2 linked regions of the Notamacropus eugenii genome follow. The protein of the gene in region 1 interacts with the protein of each later gene in a biochemical or structural test. Links are inferred from orthologs where the notes say so. Each region holds a gene or a part of one and is shown on either strand. Other genes may lie near its edges.

The links. The genes of interacting proteins can lie anywhere in the genome.
Region 2: the proteins of TRIM72 (region 1) and UBE2H form a complex in vitro, tested with the Homo sapiens proteins (2 studies listed by BioGRID). The link is inferred for Notamacropus eugenii from reciprocal best matches to the Homo sapiens genes TRIM72 and UBE2H.

Annotation. Positions count from the first base shown.
Region 1 is NC_092874.1:319,201,140-319,211,409, reverse strand, and holds the start of TRIM72 (tripartite motif-containing protein 72), read right to left. Parts: upstream 4,506-10,270; 5' UTR 4,388-4,505; intron 3,213-4,387; 5' UTR 3,205-3,212; coding exon 2,809-3,204; intron 1,031-2,808; exon of another isoform or gene 736-1,030; intron 1-735. UniProt on the Homo sapiens protein: Muscle-specific E3 ubiquitin-protein ligase that plays a central role in cell membrane repair by nucleating the assembly of the repair machinery at injury sites.
Region 2 is NC_092874.1:120,221,230-120,231,527, forward strand, and holds the start of UBE2H (ubiquitin-conjugating enzyme E2 H), read left to right. Parts: upstream 1-5,461; 5' UTR 5,462-5,901; coding exon 5,902-5,954; intron 5,955-10,298. UniProt on the Homo sapiens protein: Accepts ubiquitin from the E1 complex and catalyzes its covalent attachment to other proteins. E2 ubiquitin conjugating enzyme that transfers ubiquitin to MAEA, a core component of the CTLH E3 ubiquitin-protein ligase complex.

The DNA.
Region 1 (10,270 bases):
TGTGCAGCCTGTCCTGGACCGTGAAGAGGGAGGGAAAACAGGAGGGAACAGATTGGCTGATTAGCCATCTCCAATGAGGGAAGGTTCCTCGGGAGCTTGGACTTGGGCTAGGGCTAAACTGGATGCGTACTGGGAGAATACCAGGAACATGGAACTTCCCTGCGCCTGATCTTACTAGAAGAGGGAGTTTCTTTGGGAGGAGTTGGATCTGCAACATACCTTAATAAGGAATGATAATAAATAACCACCAAATACATAGCACTTCAAGTCTACAAAACACCCCACTCACTACAATGCATGAGTTAGGGTGGTACAGCTGTTATCTCCATTTTATAAAGAACCTGAGGCTTAAGGTCACATGGCTAGTAAGCATCTAAGGCAAGATTCGAACAAAGGTTGTCCTACCTCCAAGTCTGATGCTCTATTTTACTGTCTCCTAGTGGGGGAGGGAGGGAGGAGTGGAGCAGAATTTTGAAGCTAGAAAACCCAGCTGAGACTTATGCAATAATTTAGGCAAAGAATGATGAGGATTGGAGCTAAGGCAGTGGCACTGAACATGGAGAGAAAGGGTCAGATGTAATACAGATATAGATTGGTGATAGACAAGATGGAAGGAAGGACCTTTCCTGGTCAAAGGCTTCACTTTTTGTATGACAGTCAGCATTCTATTCTGTTACTACCTCCCCAACTAGCTACCTTCTCACCTGGTCTCTCTTATCTCCACTTTGCCCCCAGGACTATATACATCATGGACCACGGCTGATTGATCTTCATCACTGGACCCATAGAAGTAGACCAACGAATCCTGATTGAAGACATCACCAACCCTAATTTGAGGTTCTTCAGTTTTTTTGAGGCATGGGGCTTCAACTACCAGGACCCAGGGCAGTCTTTTTATCACTGACACCAAAGGGCTTCTAACTGTTCCCTGACCTTTCTCTGGCTCTATCTCTCCCCACAAAGTCAATTTTTGTGCCAGACATCCTCACCCACTTGTACCTACATTTTTATACATTCAAATTCACCAAAATCTGACTGCCTCAGTGCTTATTTGTAGATAAATTCACATAGAGTTGACACTGCGAGTGTGTCTGTGTACACAGCATGTGGACTGCACAGGGACACATTCTTGCATGTATGTGTGTGTGTATGTGTGTGTGTGTGTGTGTGTGTGTGTGTGTGCTGTCCCCTCCACATCTGTGAGGGTAAATCATCTCCCCTGTGCCTGCCCCTATCATAGCATACAGGTTTAACTACTTCCTATGGTCCCAAGATTTGCTCCTTTGAAAATGTGCCAAGATTGACACCTAGAGCCTCACCCCTTTGCCCCTATCACCCACATCCAACCCCACCTTCTACCAGCCATGCCTCTGACATAAATTCTCCAGCCCCCAACACATTCTTCTCTCCATAGAAACTTTCTGTTTGTGTCTGTATGGAGGCAGAGAATTTAAATTTAGCACAAGCAAAGGCTGCTTGCTAAAGGTGACTTTTCCTAAACCCAACTTGAGGTTCAACTCGGACTGGAAGAAGAGAGAGGAGGCACTTTAGGATTTTCTGCATCAGAAGAGACTTCAGAGATTTTTAATGTTTCCTCTCTGCCATGGAAGACATGGGGGAAGAGGAAGTCACAATTCAGGCTCTTCCTGGCGTTCACAATGAGAGCTTGGATACAGAGAAATTCTTGTGCCAAGTTAAACTCTCAACATCCTAAAACTTTTTGCCCAGGATTTTTTACTTAACATTCTTCAATCTCTCCCTTCCTACTCCATCTAGAATAACTCACTCAATTTGTCCCCAACACTATGCTACTCATAGTAAGTTAAGGAATATTTAAATTCTATTGAACTAAGTAATTTGAGGCATTTGGTTCAGCTGCTTCAGTTGTGTCTGACTCTTCATGACTCCATTTGGGGGTTTTCTTGGCAAAGATACTAGAATGGTTTGCCATTTCCCTCTCCAGCTCATCTTACAGATGAGGAAACTGAGGCAATCTGGGTGAAGCGATTTGCCCAGGATCACAAGCTAGTAAATATCTAAGGCTGGATTTGAATTCAGGTCTTTCTGACTCCAGGTCCATAGTTCTATCCACTGTGACACCAGCTGCCCAAGTAATTTGAAGAATACATAAGCTCTCTTCCTCAAACTCAGATTCAAAACTACTTCTTCATAGTCTTACTATATTTCTTAATAGTCTAACACTTTTCATATGGAATTTACCCATATACCCAACTTCTTACAATTGCCACAATGTCGCTGACCTTGAGTCCCAGTGCTTCTGTTGTCAGACTCTTTTCTCTAACTTTGCCCATAGATCCACCCTCCAAACCCCTCTCTAATCAGAACCCTATTCCTGTTCAAGTCATTTCCTGATCTTCAACAAGGATAGGTCTTGTAATTGACTGGGGAGTAAGAAGGGAGGGAGAAAAGATAAAATACTTTACCCCAAATCCTGAAGGTTATTCAGATACTCAGACCCTGTACTCTACCATGCTCTCTGGCTTTGTCATTTTCCCAACACATTTTCTGTATTTCCCCCCCATCTCCAGGTTAGCTCTTAGGCAATACATCCAAGCTTAAACCCCAGCAGCCCTCCCAAAATGAAAACTGTCCCCTAGATTCCAGGAGTTCCTCTCTGTACTCAGGACCTACTGGCAAATATGCCCCATCCAACGCCCTGTGGGAATATTCCCTTTTGTACCCACTCCAAAGTCCCTAGGGTAAATACTTCCCTCAGTACCAACAAGAAGGCCATAGGAATAGGGCTGGGTTAGGGATGGGATCCTGGACCAGAGCCCTCACTGTTACCTTCATCCTCTGGTGGGCCTCAGCAGCAGTGACCACACTGTGACCTCGGTGCTTGCCCAGAGAGGCACACACTCCACATATCAGTGCCCGGTCCTGCTCACAGTAGACACTCAGGGGGTCCAGATGTTCCTCACAATGGCCCTGTGGCACTTGAGCCAGGCTCTCCACTAACCGTGCCAGCTGTTGGTTGGTACTGAGCCCATCGGGTTTTGTGGGTGCCTGGCAGGAAGGGCAGAGCACAGTTCCAGCCTGAGTATCCGGGACCAGACGAAGGAGGCAATTGCGGCAGAAGCTGTGGCCACACTCAGCTGTGATGGGTGCATCAAAGAGCTTGAGGCAGAGTGGGCAGGATAGATCCTGGTACATGCCCTGCATCAGGGCAGGAGCACCCGACATGATGGGACCTGGGGACAGGTAAAGAAGGAAGAGGTCAGAGGTGCTTCTGGAGATGCCCACTGGCATTTCTGAAGTACCCAGTTGAAGTCCAAGCATCCTTATCCCCCTGTTCACCAGCATCTCTCTCCCTCCCCCTTCTAATTAGCTAGGTGGAACAGTGGATAGGACACTGGGTCTAGATCCAGGAAAAACTGCATTCAAATCTGCAGACAGTGTGACCCTGAGCAAGTCACTTAACTTCTGCCTCAGTTTCTACAACCGTAAAATGGGGATAATAATAGCACCAGCCTCCCAGAGTTGTTGTGAGGATCAAATGAGATATTTGTAAACCATCTAGCACAGTGCTTGGCACATAGTAGTGCCTTAATAAATGCTCATTTCTTTCCTTCCTCTCTATATTCCCATCTCTCTAGCTCAGACCAGAGTATACTCATTCTCCCAACCTATGTATAGAGGTTTCATCACTCCAGCTAGGACCTAGGTGTTCCCAGGAAGTTCTGTCTTGCCAGCTCAGATTGAAGCAATCAAATCATATCAGCTTGGAACATCAGTGTTCCCCCTGCACAGATCTAGAAATCCCCATTCCCCATCAAAGAATGAGACCAGAAGCTGAGCCAAGTTCTATAAATAGACCTGACAGATGCATAAACCAGTGAGTGTCACCACCACCCAAGGAGGGAGAAAGCAAATGCCACAGGCCTCCACCCCAGAGGACTCAATTCAGAATCAGATACTCCTTCTTCCCAGTCTTCCTGCTTTCCTCTTTGTCTCACTGTCCACTACCCCAAGGCCCATGATTATAGACCTCCTGCTCCTGCTATCCACCCTTCCTCGAAAAACTCAGGGCCTCCAGTGAACTACACTTAGTTCTCTCAAGTCACTGCATATCCCAAGGTCATCCCTCATTTACAGACAATGAGTGACTCCTTCAATAGCCCAACCCCATAGATTCCAGAATTTTTGACCACCCCATCCTCAGCCCCTGCTTCTTCCAATGTTCAAAGCTCTTACTTCTTCCCTCTTTCCCTCTGTCACACCTTTCTCAAAACACAGACTTTCTACTCCCTGGGCCTTCCTTCTCCACTCTCTCCTGTTCCAAAGAGTAGAACTCTTCCTTCTCTATTCCAATTCCCTATATCTCTCCCCTTAACCCCACTGGGAACAGAATGAGAGAACGTCTTACCAAGATTTAGGGTTTCTGCCAGAGGTCAAAGTTGTGAAGTAGGGTTGGGAAAGGGGATTCAAAAGCGTGGAGTAGTGACCCAAAGTGAGTGTCCAGTCCAAGTCCTTTCTGACTTTGCTGGAACCCAGAGTGATATTTATATATCTTGGCATGCTACATCTCATCAGTTCAACTAGTTCTAAATTTGGGTCGTGATGGGGGCCTGGAGGAGGGGCATCACATGTCAGAGCCTCCTGTCAGGCCTAAAGAATTCTCCTGGAATTAGCCATCTCCCCTCTCTACCCCTCCCCCCAACTCTCAGGCTAACCCAGAAGCAGACACAGTCCAAAGTCTACTCCTGCCCAAAGCTCAGTCCATTACAGGGTCAAGCGTACCTCATCGTTCAACTAATTATCCAAGCCAAGTTCAGAGCCCAGCCCAGTCCAGAGTCCTTAGACTCCAGTCCTGACTACAACCTAGATCCCAGCTGTCTCACAGAATCACAGAATCTGAGTTGGAAGGGACCTCAGAGTCTATGCCGTACTTGAGCAAGGACTCCTTGTACAGCAGACATAACCAATCGTCATCTAGTCTCTTCTTGAAGACCTTCCACATGTCTTTTTAATTCAATTTTTATTTTTCAGTTCTAAATTCTCTCCCTTTGGCCTCTTCCTCTCCCACTTCCTCCCACGAGAGGCAGTTAAACAGTGAATAGAGTGATAGGCATGGCGTCAGTCCAACTCTGGCCTTAGACACTTGCTAGCTATGTGACCCTTAATGCTTCTTTGCATCAGTTACCTCAACTGTAAAATGGGGATTATAATAACACCTACCTTCTAGGGTTGTTAGGAGGACTAAACGAGATAATATTTGCAAAGTGCTTAGCATGGTGTTTGGCACATTTTGTTGTCATTCAGTCATTTTTCAGTCATGTCTGACTCTTTGAGACCCCACCTGGGGTTTTCTTGGCAACCATATTGGAATGGTTTGCCATTTCCTTCTCCAGATCATTTTACACACAAGGAAACCAAGGGAAACACAATGCTGTGACTTGCCTAGGGTTACATGGCTAGTTAAGTGTCTGAGGCTAGATATGAACTTAGCAAAATGAGTCTTCCTGAGTCCAAAACTTTATCCACTGCACACCTAATTGCCCAACCTACCACACAATAGGAGCTTAATAAATGCCTATTCTCTTCCCATGGAGAAAGCAAGAAAAACAAAACTTACTACAAATATTTGTGGTCAAGCAAAATAAATGGCCATATTAGCCATGTCAAATACATACATACACATATATAACGTAAATACGTATACTCACCTGTCTCTATGCCTCAGCTCTACTTTGAATCCATCTCTTTATATGGAAGTGAATAATCCTTCCATGAAATCTGTATGGACACAGTGGTTTGTGTGTCATTGCCCCCTTCTCCCCACCCCACACTGAGAGGAGGGACTGACTGTGTTTTCCACTTTCTTTGTCTCCCCTGTGCTTAGCCCAGCACATGTATGAAGCACTTGATAAACAACGTGGGGTTCTGCCACTGCCAAAGCAAACCATCCCACATCTGGATAGCTCTAATTGGCAGAAAGTTTTTCTTTACTACAACGCTAAATTCACCTCTTTGTCACTTCCTCCTTTTGTACTTAAGCTATGTTTCCACTTGGAGTCATTTCAGGACAAAAATAACTTTTACTACACACACACACACACACACACACACACACACAATCACACAAAGGTTAAAGAAAAGTAAACTAAACAGATGAACTCTTCAGGTCTTTGATTACAGATAGGGCATTCACTAATATTTCTCTTCATACCTATTCTACCTCATTCTGTCTTGTAACCCTTTCTCTCTCTGTCTCCTTTTAAGATTTTCCCTTAAACTATTTACCTAAAGAAGACCCATGAGGTCAACGGATTCCTTTAAATCAACAGAGGAACAAGTAGGTAACAGCTCCTGTCCTATTCCAGAATAAAAAACTACAGATTTATCAAGGCCTTCTCTCACAGGGAGAATTCAAGGTAAACCCTGAGAAGAGAGGAGTTGGGTTGACTGGAAGATTAATGGGAGTGGTATAGGGAGATGGCTTGTCTGATGGTTTTTGAATTGGAACCAGGTTACCCCTGCCCTGTTCTTTGCTCTTCCCTGACTGGGGTAGGGTGATCACCTATGGGTGGTATCCTCACTATTTTCTAAAGACCATCCACAGTTCCTCCTTTAGTAAGGAGATGGCAATCAAGCCACAAGTATTTATGTACCAGGCACTGTGCTGAGCACTAGATATACAAAGGAAAGCAGATATATGGTCTCTGCTCTCAAGTTCAAATACAAAAAAGGGGGGGAGGTGGCATAAAAGGTATATACAGTAGAAGTGAAAAATAATCTTAGAAGAAAGTCACTAGCATTGGTGGTGAGAAAAGGAGAAGGAGAGGCTGGGAAAGGTCTCTTGCAAACAGTAGAGTTTGAGCTGAATCTTAAAGGAAACCAGGGAAGGCAGAAGAGTGAAATAAGATGTAAAAGAAAAAGCTCTGAGATGGGAATTAGGAGACCTGGGTTCTAATTCCAATTTTAGCACTTACCTTAGGACAAATCATATTCCCTTTCTAAAAGAGTCAGGCCTTAGGCCTTGCTGAAATGAGTGAATGTCTTAGAAATTCGAGCTTCCTCTTAGATCTAAGAGGCCTAATCCTTTGGCCCTGGTCTTTCAGCTTTCACTACTTCATAGTATGGTGGAAAGACTACTCTATTTGTAGTCAGGGGTCTAGGGTTTATATCTTGATTCTGCGGTTTACTACCTGTGAAACCTTCAGATCTCAGTTCCTCGTCCATAAATTGAGGGGGTTGGATAAGATGACCCTGAAGGCCCCTTCTAGTTTCAAGTCTACAATCTATGACATTCTAAGCTTTCCCTAATTACTAAGCCTGAACTCAAGGCCATGGTCTCTCAACCGACTCCCTGAGTGCAAAGATATAATGCATTCCACCTGGTAGGTGCCAGATGACACAATAGATAGAGCATGGGGCTCATAGGAAGATCTAAGTTCAAATCCTGCCCTAGACACTAGGTGTATAAGCTAGGGCAAGTCATTTAACCTTCCTCATCCTCAGTGTCCTCATCTGTAAAATGAGGGGGTTAGCCTCTAAAATCTCTTGCAGTTCTAACTTTATGAACCTTCTACCAGTGCCTCTAAAACTGGATCCTATCTTGGCATCTGCTCTTTCTTTCCCTTCAACTCCTTGCTGCCACATACTCCAAATGACAAAAGTGAATTTTCTAGGGTTTCTTCACAAGGAAAAAACATACATACATACATAGATACACACATGTATGTATACATACATATATGTATATGTGCATATATGTGTGTACATGTATTCAGAAATCACATGTACCAGAGAAAAACTATTAGAAGAAGCACTATCCAGTTTCAGACAGTCTAAGTTACTCTGCTTAGCAACAGCTCCCCAGGCTTGACTTGGCCTGTCATTTTCTCAGTTTCACACCACAACCTAATACCTTCCTGGTCCTACAAGAACATAAATTCTTCTACCTCCAAAAATGCTGACTTGAAATTTCCCTGCCTGTGTGTTCCAAACCCAGCTCATTCCCGAGTTCAGCTATCCCTTTACAATTTAGGAAGTGATTTCATATGCAGTCATCCCTTTGATTCTTGTAACTCCTATGTAGTCCAAGCAGTTTTGATCCCAGAATCAACTCATATGCAACTGGGAAATCCCTTGGTTGCTTGACATGACATTTGCATTCCAATCTAACAACTGGCCTTTCCCTACTAAGGGAAAGAAGCAATAGTCATAGGCAATTCCCAAATTTCACACTAGATGATCTGTAAAATAACAATAAAATAGAACCTGTCCCGCCTACATGAGGGAGGATGAGGATCAAAGGGAACCACTGGTTGTGAAATTGCTTTCTAAACTATAAAGTATTAGATATGTGAAAGGAATTATTCTGATTATCAGTCTGGAAGGGAGGGAGTTCTCTAGAAGTCAGCAGGCAGCCTGAGGGCATGCCAGAGTAGAGGCCCAGAAGGAAAAAAAAAGGGAAAGCCTTCTAATAAACCAGTTTGGGAAGATTCTTTGGGAGGCTATATGTAGGACGGTGGGAGTCTGAGACATCAAGGGGCACGCATGGGGTGGGAAGTTTCAGGTAACCCTTGCTGTACAGAATTAAAATGACAGTCTCCATAAGGACAGGATCTATTTCTTCTCTCTCTTTCCTTAATGTCTCTGGCAGGGGGGCTTGGACATAGTTGGTGCCTAATAGTTGCTTGTCAAATTTTGTGAAGTACCTAGTGTGTAGTTGGTGCTTAATAAATATTAGTTGACTTAAAATTGAATTGATTTAAAATATAAAAATTACAAAATGTTAGAGCAAAAAGTACTGATTTGAGTTCATTTTGCTTTGTTCCTTTCTTTATGGTGGTGAGTAGATTTTAGCATACAACAGCAAAATTGGTGGTTAAGCAAGCTGGTGCCAGGTGAACCTTATTTTTCTATTAATCTACACTAGGAATTAAAGATATATTCTGATCATTAGAAATATAATCCCTGAGCCCAACAGCAATGGGTATAAGTTTCACAAAGATTTTTTTGAGCTCAACATAAACAAAACTTCCTAGCTATTAGAGCTATTCTAAAGTAGAATGCACTAACTGATAAGGAAGTGAATGCTCCATTACTGGATGTTTTCCAGGGCACACTGAATTTCCTTTTACAGAAGAGTTATAATTAGCAATTTTCAAACCTGGGTCTAGCAGCCTGAAACATGCCTTCCATTTATTTTGGGGAATAGAGTGCGTTGGTGGAGCCCAGATACTAAGAAGCTATTTCTGCCAGGCCATCATGGTGGAAAGATGGACAAACAAGGGGCTGGGAATTCACCAGTGGTACTACCAACAGGTAAGAGGAGTGGTAAAAGAAAGCAGTCTCTTACTATTTCCTTTTAAAATAATTATTCTTGCTGACTGTGTGCTAAGTTCACAGTTTTTTGTTCCTTTGTTTCTGGCAGCAAAAGAACTTCAATATTAGCATCTTCTAAATTTTGGCATCCTGGAACAAAATCTTAATTGCTCCAAACTAGTTATGAGTCTCCTTCTCTGAATTTTGTAGAGGACAGTCTTGTTTATATATGAATTAGATAGCTGACTTCTCAGGGATACAATACAAAATGCCCTGGATTTGGAACCAGGGGACCTGAGGCAGGTAACTTATTGTCTCTGGTTCTAAGTTTCCTCCTAAGTAAAATAAGGGGTTTCAGATAATTGGGAAAAGTCCTTGCAGAAAGTTTCTCCAATAAGAATCTCATTTCCAAGATTTATAAGAAGCTTAGTCTCACATATAAGAACTAGAGTCATTCCCCAATAGATACATATCAAAGGATATGAAGAGGCAGTTTTTCAAAAGAAGAAATACAAGCTATCAACAGTCAAATGGAAAAAAAAGATCCAAATAAGTAATAATTAGAAAAATGCATATTAAAATAACTCTGAGGTTCTACTTCTTACTCATCAGACTGTCAAAGATGACAAAAATATAAGGAAATTGACACATGTTGGAGGGGCAATGAGAGAACAGAGATATTGGTATACAATTGGCAGAATGTGAAGTGAGAGGATGAACCTTTGATTGAATCCAAACTTCACAGAACAAATTCCTTTAATAAAAGTTGTTCCATGAAGTTTGGATTCAGTCAAAGGGCCTCACTTGAGGAGGGCACATGTGGCTTCAAAGCTGCAGGTTCCCCACCCCAGACTCTAGCCATATTGGGACATAATCTGGAATCGTGCTCTAAAAGCCCTGAACCTGTCTATATCCTTTGACTTACCACTAGTAGGGTTATACCCCAATGCAATCAAAGAAAGAGAAAAATGGCTCA
Region 2 (10,298 bases), about 200 Mb from region 1:
AGTCAGGAGGACCTGAGTTCAAATCTCACCTCAGACACTTGACACTCACTAGCTGTATGACCTTGGGCAAGTCACTTAACCTCAATTGTATCATCCTGGGCCGTCTCCAGTCATCCTGATGAATATCTGGTCACTGGATTCACATGGCTCTGGAGGAGAAGTGAGGCTGGTGACCTGCACAGCCCTCCCTAACTCAAAACAAAGTCAAGTGCTAGTCATGTCATTATTTCTCTGATGGCATGGTCTTCTTCGGCAACAAAGGATGAACACACATTAAGCTGGTCAAGTTTCATTTGAAACAGAATCCTTGTCTCTGAGGAGGACTCATCTAACAGGGTTTGTTTCCCTAGGTACTGATTGTATTTTGCATAGATTAACTCCTCTACCCTTTTAACACAGAAGAGGGAAACTGAGGCAGAGTCAAGTGATAGCACAAAGTTTGTTTATTGAAAGAGATAAGCACCAAGTCCTGCCTGATTCTCAGTGAAGTGGGTTAGCTGAGATCATGCTTTTCTATTCCATTCTTATCTCCTTCTAATAAGGTTCTCAAAGATGGGGAGACAAATTCTTTCACTGGGATATACTTTCATTTAAAGAGGCTTTCTGTGTATGTAGTAAAAGTCAAAATAAAAGCTAAGAATTCTTGTGCCTAGGGCAGATTGAGTTTGGGGAATGGGGAGTGGCATATTCAGAGCACAGTCCAACCATGGCAGAGTTGTACAAGGAAATGGGGCACCCTATTACCCCAAGAATCTGGTCTGTATCTCTACAGGGTTTGGGGAAAATGTGGGACTTGGAAGAGGATCAACATAGCAATGGGACTCTAGAGGAGGTGGCCTGGGAGTGATTGTGGTATATGGTAGGGTAGGCTGGTGGAGGCCTAAGATGGGAAGTATGTGTTCATCCTTCATTGACAAAGAAGACCATGCCATCAGAGAAATAATGACATGACTTGCACTTGACTTTGTTTTGAGTTAGGGAGGGCTGTGCAAGGTCACCAGCCTCACTTCTCCTCCAGAGCCATGTGAATCCAGTGACCAGATATTCATCAGGATGACTGGAGATGACCCAGGATGAGGCAACTGGGGTTAGGTGACTTGTCCAAGGTCACACAGCTAGTGAGTGTCAAGTGTCTGAGGTGAGATTTGAACTCAGGTCCTCCTGACTCCTGCGCTGGTGCTGTATCCACTGCACCACCTAGCTGCCCCAAGATGGGAAGTAGTGCTCGCCTCAAGGAGGAAATATACTCAACTAGGAAGGAAATATGCTGTGCCTTGGCTGCCCCATGCTAGTTACAGCTTTGGTTAAGAGTATTTAAAAATAACAGTTTACCTCTATTGAGAGAAGTTGAGAGAGCCAACCTCTATGAGACATGGGATGGTAGGAGTGTGCATGGTCAACTCCTGGATGAGAGAGCCCATATTACATGTTAAAGTTTAGGGTGGGGTTGGGATTAGAGAGCAAACAATAATTTCCTAATCTATCCGGTTGACCTCAAGTCCCTCATCCTCCTTCTATAATCAGTCTTTAGTGCTGCACTCAGTAAGTATAATGAAAAAATAGCAATATAACAGATATAAAATTCTTACCCTTTCCTACTAACAGGCCTAGGACCTTAACTAGGTAACCTGACTCCCCCCAAATGAGATCAAGCTTTCCTCACACTCCCCAACCAATGCCCTCAGAATAGAACTGTAGGCAAAAACCTCTACAACAAAGCTTGAGGTTCGTGTCATCTCCAGAGTCTCCCCCAAAAGAATTAGCAATGTCCCTTTTACTGGATGTAAAAAATAGATCAGTTATAGGATAGCTATTGATTTCCTCCATCATGGAAGAAATGTTTAAACTACAAACTTAAGAACACACATTGACAAATACTTAAAACATACAATAGCAACCAATTATTCCTAATGATACTTTCCTAAGAGGTTAGATACTTCAAGATTTGCTCACATTTCTTTCCACTTCAATCTCTACACAGCAACCAATATCCAACACCACCCCACATCCACCAATCAATTCTGTTGTCTTTCTATTCCTTCTATGATCAAATATAAATTTTTTAAAATTTAAAGTTCTTTACAACCTGTTCCTATTCCACCTTTCCAGCCCTACATCTCCTCCACAGAATATGTAGTCTGGTCAAACTGGTCCTCTCCCTCTTTCTTGCACATCACACACAACTTCTCATCTCCATGCCTTTAAACTATCTTCTTATGGGTAATGTACACACCCTTCTCACCCCACAATTTCTAGGAATCACTGCTTTCCTTCAAAACTCAGGTTAAGCATCATCACATTCTGCATGAGGCCTTTCTTTATCCTTCTGTTAGTGTGCCTCCTTTCAAAGGTTATTCTGTATCTGTTTTGTATCTGATTCTAAACATTTACATGTAAGTGTGTACAGCCATATTTTACTCCCCAAGAGAATATGCTCCTTGAGGTCAGATACTGATTTTATTTTTGTCCTTATATCTCCAGCCCCTAGCTAGTGCCTGCCACACAACAAGAACTTAATAAACCCTTGCTGGTTGATTCATGAGTCATTTCCTTCAAGGAACTTATCCCTCAAGGAGGATAAGACACCAGTATGGATAGATAACTCTAGTATACAATATTCCCTAAGTGATTTGGAGAGCTGCAAAGCAAAGTGCTATATGAGGTCCTGGGGGAAGACTATTATTGACTGGGAGGACTGGGCAGGCTTTTTGAATAAGGTAGTGTCTGCGCTTTGTTTTAAAGGGCAGGTAGGAGGTAAACAGGTGAAGATAGGGAAGGAGGAATCTCTAGATTTAGAGAAGAGCTTTAGCTCAGGTATAGAGGCATGACAATATGACTTGTATTCAGAGGTACAGTTATCCAGTTTGACTGCAATATAGCAGGCAAGAGATGAGGCTGGAAATGTAGAGGGGCCACTAAGTTGAGTGACTCTTCCAGACAGAGATGTAAAGTTTGAACTTCATTATGGAGGCAATATAGTGTTCCTGATGAATTTTAGAAGTGCAACATTTCTAGGTCTATGGATAAAAAAGATTATTCTGGTAGCGCTGTGAAGGATGAATTGGAGAGGCATAGTGTGGAAGCAAAATAAATACAAGGCAATTTTTTTGGTGGGTAGGCATCCGCAACTGGGGAGTCAGGAAAGGTCATATGTAGGAGGTCACATCTGAATTGAATTTTGAAGCTTGAATTCTAAGAGGCAGAAGTGAGGAGAATGTACATTATTTTATATACATCCTGTATATACTTATTTTGTTCAGACATATTTTATATATACCTATATGTGCATGTATTGTGTCCTCCTATAGAATATAAGATCCTTGAAGCCAGGGATGGTTTCATTTTTGTCTTTTTATCTTTATCTAGTATCTGCAACAGTGGCATGGTCAATCCACAAGCATCTATAAAATGTGTAATAAGTGCTAGGGATACAAAGAAATAGCAAAGTCCCTTCCTTCTAGGAGTTTATATTCTATTTTGGGAGAAAAGAGGTACATAAAGAGGTACATATAAGATACTAACAAAGAAGATACAAGGTAACCTGAAAGGGAAAAACAGCATAAGCTAAGAAAAGCCACTGGAAGAAGGTAGCATTTGAGCTGAATCTTGAAGGAAGCCATTCTTTCAAAATAATTGAACAAAGCTATAATAGGAGGCCTGATGTCTTCTCTTTTTCCATTTACACATTCTGCTTTTCTTCAATCAAACTTCATATGACATGCTGTCAAGCATTTCTGTCATCCTGGCTGCCCTCCTCAGGACACTCTCCAGCTGATTAATGTCCCTCCCCGTCTATTCCCATTACAACTCCCCCAAAGACAGGGACTTGGCTATTTCTTTGTATCCTCAGCACTTACTACACATTTTATAGATGCTTGTGGATTGATCATGCCACTGTTGCAAATGCTAGAGATAAAAAGACAAAAATGAAACCATCCCTGCCTTCAAGAAACTTACATTCTACAGGAGGACACAACATATTTACATATAGGCATATACAAAATATGTTTGTACAAAACAGGTATATACAAAATGTATACAAAATAAATACAAGGTAATCATTTTTGTTTGGGGAGGGAGGGCATAAGGCAACCAGGGGATCAGGAAAGGCCAATTGACAAGAGGTGACATCTGAATTGAACTTCGAATTTGAGTTTAAGAGGCAGAAATGAGAAGAATATATATTCTAGTCATGGGGACAGCTTGGCATTGTAGGAAATGAAATCTCATATATAGGAACTGTAAAAAAGTCAGTTTGACAGGGCCAAAGAATAATGTAGCACATGTTTCTTTAGACTTGGCTAAGTTGGACAAGGCCAGTTGGAGATGAAAAGAATTACAATGGTGTTAATTAAGGAGAAGCAACAGCCCTACAGTTATGTGCTGGCTTTCATGCTTTTAGCTGGTTGTCACTAAACATTTATCAAGCTACCAAATGTTCCAGAGACTGTGCTGTTAAGTACAAAGGAAGGCAAAAGACAGTCCTGGCTCTCAAGGAGCTCAGTCTAGTGGAGGAGATAGCATGAAAAGAACTACGTATAAACAAGATATAGATATCCGACACATTGGCGATCACCAGCACAAGGAAGACACTAGCAAAGCACTTATTAAACCTCTGTTGAATACTACTATTGCAAAACCAATAACTTTTCAAAGTAGGAGCAGAATGTAGACAGTCTGTTGCTGTGAGAGCCCTCTTTATTTTATGAGGCTATATGCACACATGCCTATATGTACATATGTTTATGTATACACATATATATGTATATTCACATACACAGGCACAAAACTGTGTAGATGTATATTTACACAATACACGTTTATACATGTAGATGTGTATTTTCCATTTATACAACACACTTTTCCTAGACCCAATCCATACTTTACATACATATGTGCACATGTATACTTACATGCATGCACTTTACATAATATATGCATGTATATTTAAATCTATGCAGTATGTATTTTACATGTGCATCTGTAACACATACACATATCTCTTTGCAAATCTTAAAGCAGTATACCAATATTAGATGTTTTTCTGCTAATGATTGCCCCACTGGCCAAATTCCAAGAGAGGTTAACCTCAAATTACTTTTGCTTATAGAGCCCTGGAAATTAACAAGCAGACTATATATGAAGCATTCTCAACTCTTCAAAATAGACAACCAAATAAAAACTAAAGCTATCATTAGCGTTGTCATTATAATTAACTATTGTTGTTGTTAAGATGATGACGACAGGAGTGGTTGGAGGGGTGGGGAGGGAAAGGGAGGAGGAGGAAGAGGAGGAGGAGGAAAAGGCCCGTGGAACTGGAAGGCAAGCCAGGGTAAAAAGCGGAACTACAACTCCCAAAAGGCCCTAGGAAATTGCGCGCCGCCGCGGTGACCCTCCCCTTTCGGTGGCCGAGCCGGGGCCCCGCCCCTTGGGTGACGTCACTGAGAGGTGACGTCACGGCGCTCAGAGCGAGGCTTCGGTAGAGAAGCAGCCGCCGGAGCTGGAGTCGCCGCTGGTGGCGGAGGCTGCGAGAGAGCGAGCCAGGGAGGGAGGGGGGGAAGCGGAGCGGAGCGCGGAGCAGCGCGGCGCTGCGCGGAGAGACCGAAGCCGGGACCGGAGCCAGGGCCGGGGCAGCAGCTGCGGAGCCGACGACCCCAGAGAGACAGAGCCGGGAAGCCCGGGGCGCTCCCCCAGCCCCCCCAGCCGTACGGTGCCTGGTGTCTCCCCCCGCCTCCCCTCCCGGGGGGAGGAGGAAGAGGCGGCGGCGGCGGACCGGACCTCGGGGTGTCGCCGCCCCCACAGGAGGAGCCGGGCCGGCCGCGGGCTCCACAGCGCCGGGGCCCGGGGCCCGTGACAGACGGGCCTAGGAAGGGAAGAGGCGGCGGCGGCGCAGGCGACACCATGTCATCCCCCAGCCCGGGCAAGAGGCGGATGGACACGGACGTGGTCAAGCTGTATCCTTCGTGGCCGTGGGGGGGGGGGAGCTGTCTGCGTGTGCGTCTGTGTGTAGTGGTCCGGGGGACGTGGGGTGGTGACGCCTACCGCCCCCCCCTCCCCCGGCCTTCCCTCCCCGGGACCCCCCCAGGGCCCTGGGGCACTGCCCCCCCATCCGTGACTCCCCTCCCCCCTGCCCGGGGCTCGTCCTCAGCACCTCCCAGTCCCTTTCATCGCCTCCATTAACTGCAGCCCCTCCAAATTCGCGTTGCTCCCCCTCTCCTGCACCCCCTCCGTAGCCATGATCTCACCTCTACAGTTTTTAAACCTCCGAAGACCGGCTTTTTCTCGTGGGACTAGGTGGGCTTTTTGCTTATTTCCCCCAGCTACTTAAGCCCACCCTACAGGTCTTCCCTCTCTTCTCTCTCAGCTGTATAATTTAGGGACCCTAGGTGGGAATATCCCAGGATAGTTCCTTTCTCTTTTCAGTAAAGTCCCCCCCCAATCCCTACCCAGAGTATTGGTAAGCTAGGGCGACCAAATAGCCCCTTTCCTTCTTTATTCCCACTTATTTGCTGTATTAGTAGGAAGAGGCAAGCAGGACTCAGTTCTATCCAGTGTCCTCTAACTCCCCCCCCCCAATTAGAAATCACCCTTTACATACTTGTCAGGCACCCCTTCTCGGTTTCAGCTTTGCTGCCTGCTTCTGACAAAGCATACCTTATAGACTAAGTCCTGTAAAGAGAGGGACCTCTGTGACTGTAGCCAAACACCCTCCTCTGCCAGTATATGTGACACTGAGAAGAGAGAATGGGGAGCACTTACCCCCCAAAACCCCACTGCTCACTACAGGGAAACCCCTCAACAGCATGAGATTAGGGTTTTGAGGAATACCTGCCCCTTTCTTCTCAAATAATAACCTTCTTTACACTCTCCTCTAATACACTTGATCTATATTATTGGGGGTGACAGTGGAGAGATTGGATTGTATTTGGGAAGAATACTGCAGACCGGGCTTTTGTAGTGGTGGTTGGTTATTATTATTTACTTAATGACTTCAGCCACAGAGAAATTCCCGAAGGTTCCCGGGACAAATCCAGGGTTTTGTATTGTTTTTTTTTTGTTTTTTTTAAAGGGTGATTTAGAGGTTGTGGGGGATGGAGGAAACGAGCCAAGCGACCTGTCCCTGGGGGAAAATGGGGGTAAAATGTAGTTGAAAAGTCCAGTTTACCTTCTTTTCCCTCCCCTCCCCACCTCTCCTCCTCTTCCCCCCTGTTGCAGGGTTTTGTTTATATAACAAGTAGTTTGGCTGGATTCTCCTGAAGAATTCTTTCATTTATTTATTTATTTATTCATTACTATTTTTGATTGGATGATTTATCTCTTTTGTAAAGGGTGGGTAATACTATTGAATATTCAGTCAAACAAACTTGACAGAGTTTTAAAGTAGTATTAAAATTTTTGGTTTGCAGGTGGGGGATGGGTAGATGTTTGTCAAATTCAGAGATTATTCTTAATGTTTTTAGAAACAAGAAGGTGGCTTTCCCTACCCCACCCTGGAGAACTTGCTAGGGATTAGCTGCTGGAGATATTGAAGTTTGGGCCTGAGTTTTTATTTTTTGGGGAATGTGTGAGAGATAAGACAAAGAGAAAGGCGTATGTATGAACGAATGAAATTGTTTCTAGGGAAAAGGTAAACCAAGACGTTGTTTTATGTACTGTTCCTTAGGTAAGGTTGAGTGTGTGTAATGGATAATAGCAGTTGTGTTAGTGGCTTTTCATAAGACTGTAGCAAAACTTGTAACTGTGGATATGTGTGTATTTAGACAAAGCAGCTTCAGATTCTAGTCTTGTTTAGAAAATAGGAAATGACACTGATTGTGGCAGAACCTGAGTTATTTTTATCCTGGATTTAGTGTTACTGTCAAACCAATGCAAATTTTCAGCTAGTGTTTCATTTATTCCAGGGGAAAGAACTCTAGCTGTTATTTTAAACAATATCATATTCTTCAAATATATACATATGTGTTTTTAAAAGGTTGAGAATAAGGGGTGAGGCCCAACTTGACCTGAGCCCTTCCCAAGACTGCTCCTTTTGTTCACTTAGTTGTGGCATCTAGAAAGATTACCGCATTTAGGAGTAGGGGCATCTGTGGAGGGGAGGTGGTAGAGACAAAGAAGGGCAGGGTGATTTTTTTTCCCCTAAGTGGCTTTATTTCGTAGCTTATTTTTAGTACATGATGAAGAAAGACAAAGATACATTGGCTTCCTGTTCATTCCCCACCTTCACTCTTCTGACAAAAGAAAGCAGAGGTGCTTTTAAATCACAGGTCTCTTGTATAATAGTCCTGGGGATTTAAAAGCAAGGGATTGTCTTTGCTACGTGTTTGTTTTCTCCTCCTAACATAAACGTCATGATTGAGAAGTTTATATTTTTCAGATGCCTTTGTAGGTTTTCCTCCTTGTCTTTTTGCGTGTTTTGTGGCCTGCTTTCTCTGATTAAATGAGATCAGTAGGCCTGAATTGAGCCATCACTTTTTGAATATAACTAATGTACTCATATATTTAGCTGACATAAAATAAGCCCTGTACTAAAATAAGTGAAATGATGTGGAAAGGAAAGAGAGGGTGTTGAAAATAAGACAGTGAGTGAGGAAGTAGAAAAAATAGATCTGAAGGAATGTACGTGCTTGTTACTCCCACTGGCCCTTAATTTCTTGGGTTTATGCTTTCTACCATTTTCTTAGCAATCTCTTGTTTCAGCCCATTTTTGGATGTGTTCTGGGCGTAATTATGCCACCAGGATTTACAGCCTGGCAGGGAACCTATACACTACTAAAGTGACAGGGTGTGGGGGTAGGGAGAGAAGAGGATGGACGTGTAACTCATGCCCCTGCTTTCCATGGCTTGGACAGGTTCATCAGAGACAGTGGCCTCTATTAGTTGAAGTCAGTGATCTTTCTTTTGTGACTGGGTTGTTGGTAGGAGGAGGTCAGACTTCCAAGTTATTTGAGGAGTGAATGTTTTGCACCGATGCACTGAAATAATTTGCTGGTTGATTATGTTCTGAAACTCTGACTCATTCATTGTTTCTCTACTGGTTGTTGTGCAAACCTTCTTCTATAGCCTAAAACCAATTTAAATTGCTTCTTAGCACTGTGGGGATGTTGTCCTGTCCTAGCACTTGCCTTCGCCTACTAGGAGTGCCTTTGAGTGTGTGAAGGTGGGAAGAGGAAGGGCGCTTTATCCAGTCAGCCCAGTGGAGGCTTTTCTGGGTCAGAACTGGAGCGTTGCTTTTTAAATTTCAGTTTTAAATCTAGCTGATTATTTTGATTATACTGGAAGTCGTGCTCTTTGGTACTTAAACCTACGATTTGCGCTTAAGAAATAACCTGTTAAATTTTCCCCTGGTGGAGGAACAAATTGCTCGGATTACACCAAGGTCCCTTGACCGTCTGAGTTTTTTCACTGTCCTACCCTGTTGCACAGTCTTTCTGATCCTTTTATCTGTGAACCAGAGGCCCCAGCTAAATGCCGGAGCTGCTTGTTTTGGGGAAGCGTCTGCAGGCGAAAGGCCGCAGGCACAGCTCCCCTTGGCTCATTGGCTGTTCTGTTACTACCCGGAAACTGAGCAGTGGGCGGAGCTGCCCAAACAGCTGATAGAGTGTGACCAGAGTGTGTTTGTATACAAAAGAGAGGGGGTTGGGGGAGCCTAGAGAAGGACTTAAAAAACATAAAACTGGAGAATCAGAAGTCAGTAAGTAATCGCTAGAATAAAGAATACTTGTAAGGAATAGGTAAGTGGGCATCTCATATGTCACAGTATTTGTACTTTAGGTGAATATATTCAGAAAGTTTGTGAGTTATCAGATTACAGGATCATAGATCTAGAATTGGAAGAGGAACTCCAGAGGCCATTGAATCCAACCTCCTTCATTTTACCAACGGGAAATTGAGGCTCCAGGGAGGTTAAGTGACATGTTTAAAGTCACACAGAGAGTAGATGTCAAAGGATTATTTGAACCCAAGGCCTTTGACTCCAGAGCTGGAGCTCTTTTCTGATAGTAGTTTGTGGGGAGTTATGAAGTATTTTATGTAGGGATTTCTCTTGGCATAACTAAAGGTGATTAGAAACAAAATTTTTGTGGCAATTTTGAGAGCAGACTCTTTTCTCTTCCTGAGGGAATGTAGTGACTTAAGCAGAATACATGACTTGAAATATATTTAGCTGACTATATGCAGAGGCAGCATAATCAAAGCATAGTAGACATTTAACTTCCCTTGCCAGGCTTCAAATTGGTTTCAGAAAAGGGACTGTTGCTGCTGTAGAGTTGTAGAACAAATTCGTTAGTATGGTCACAATA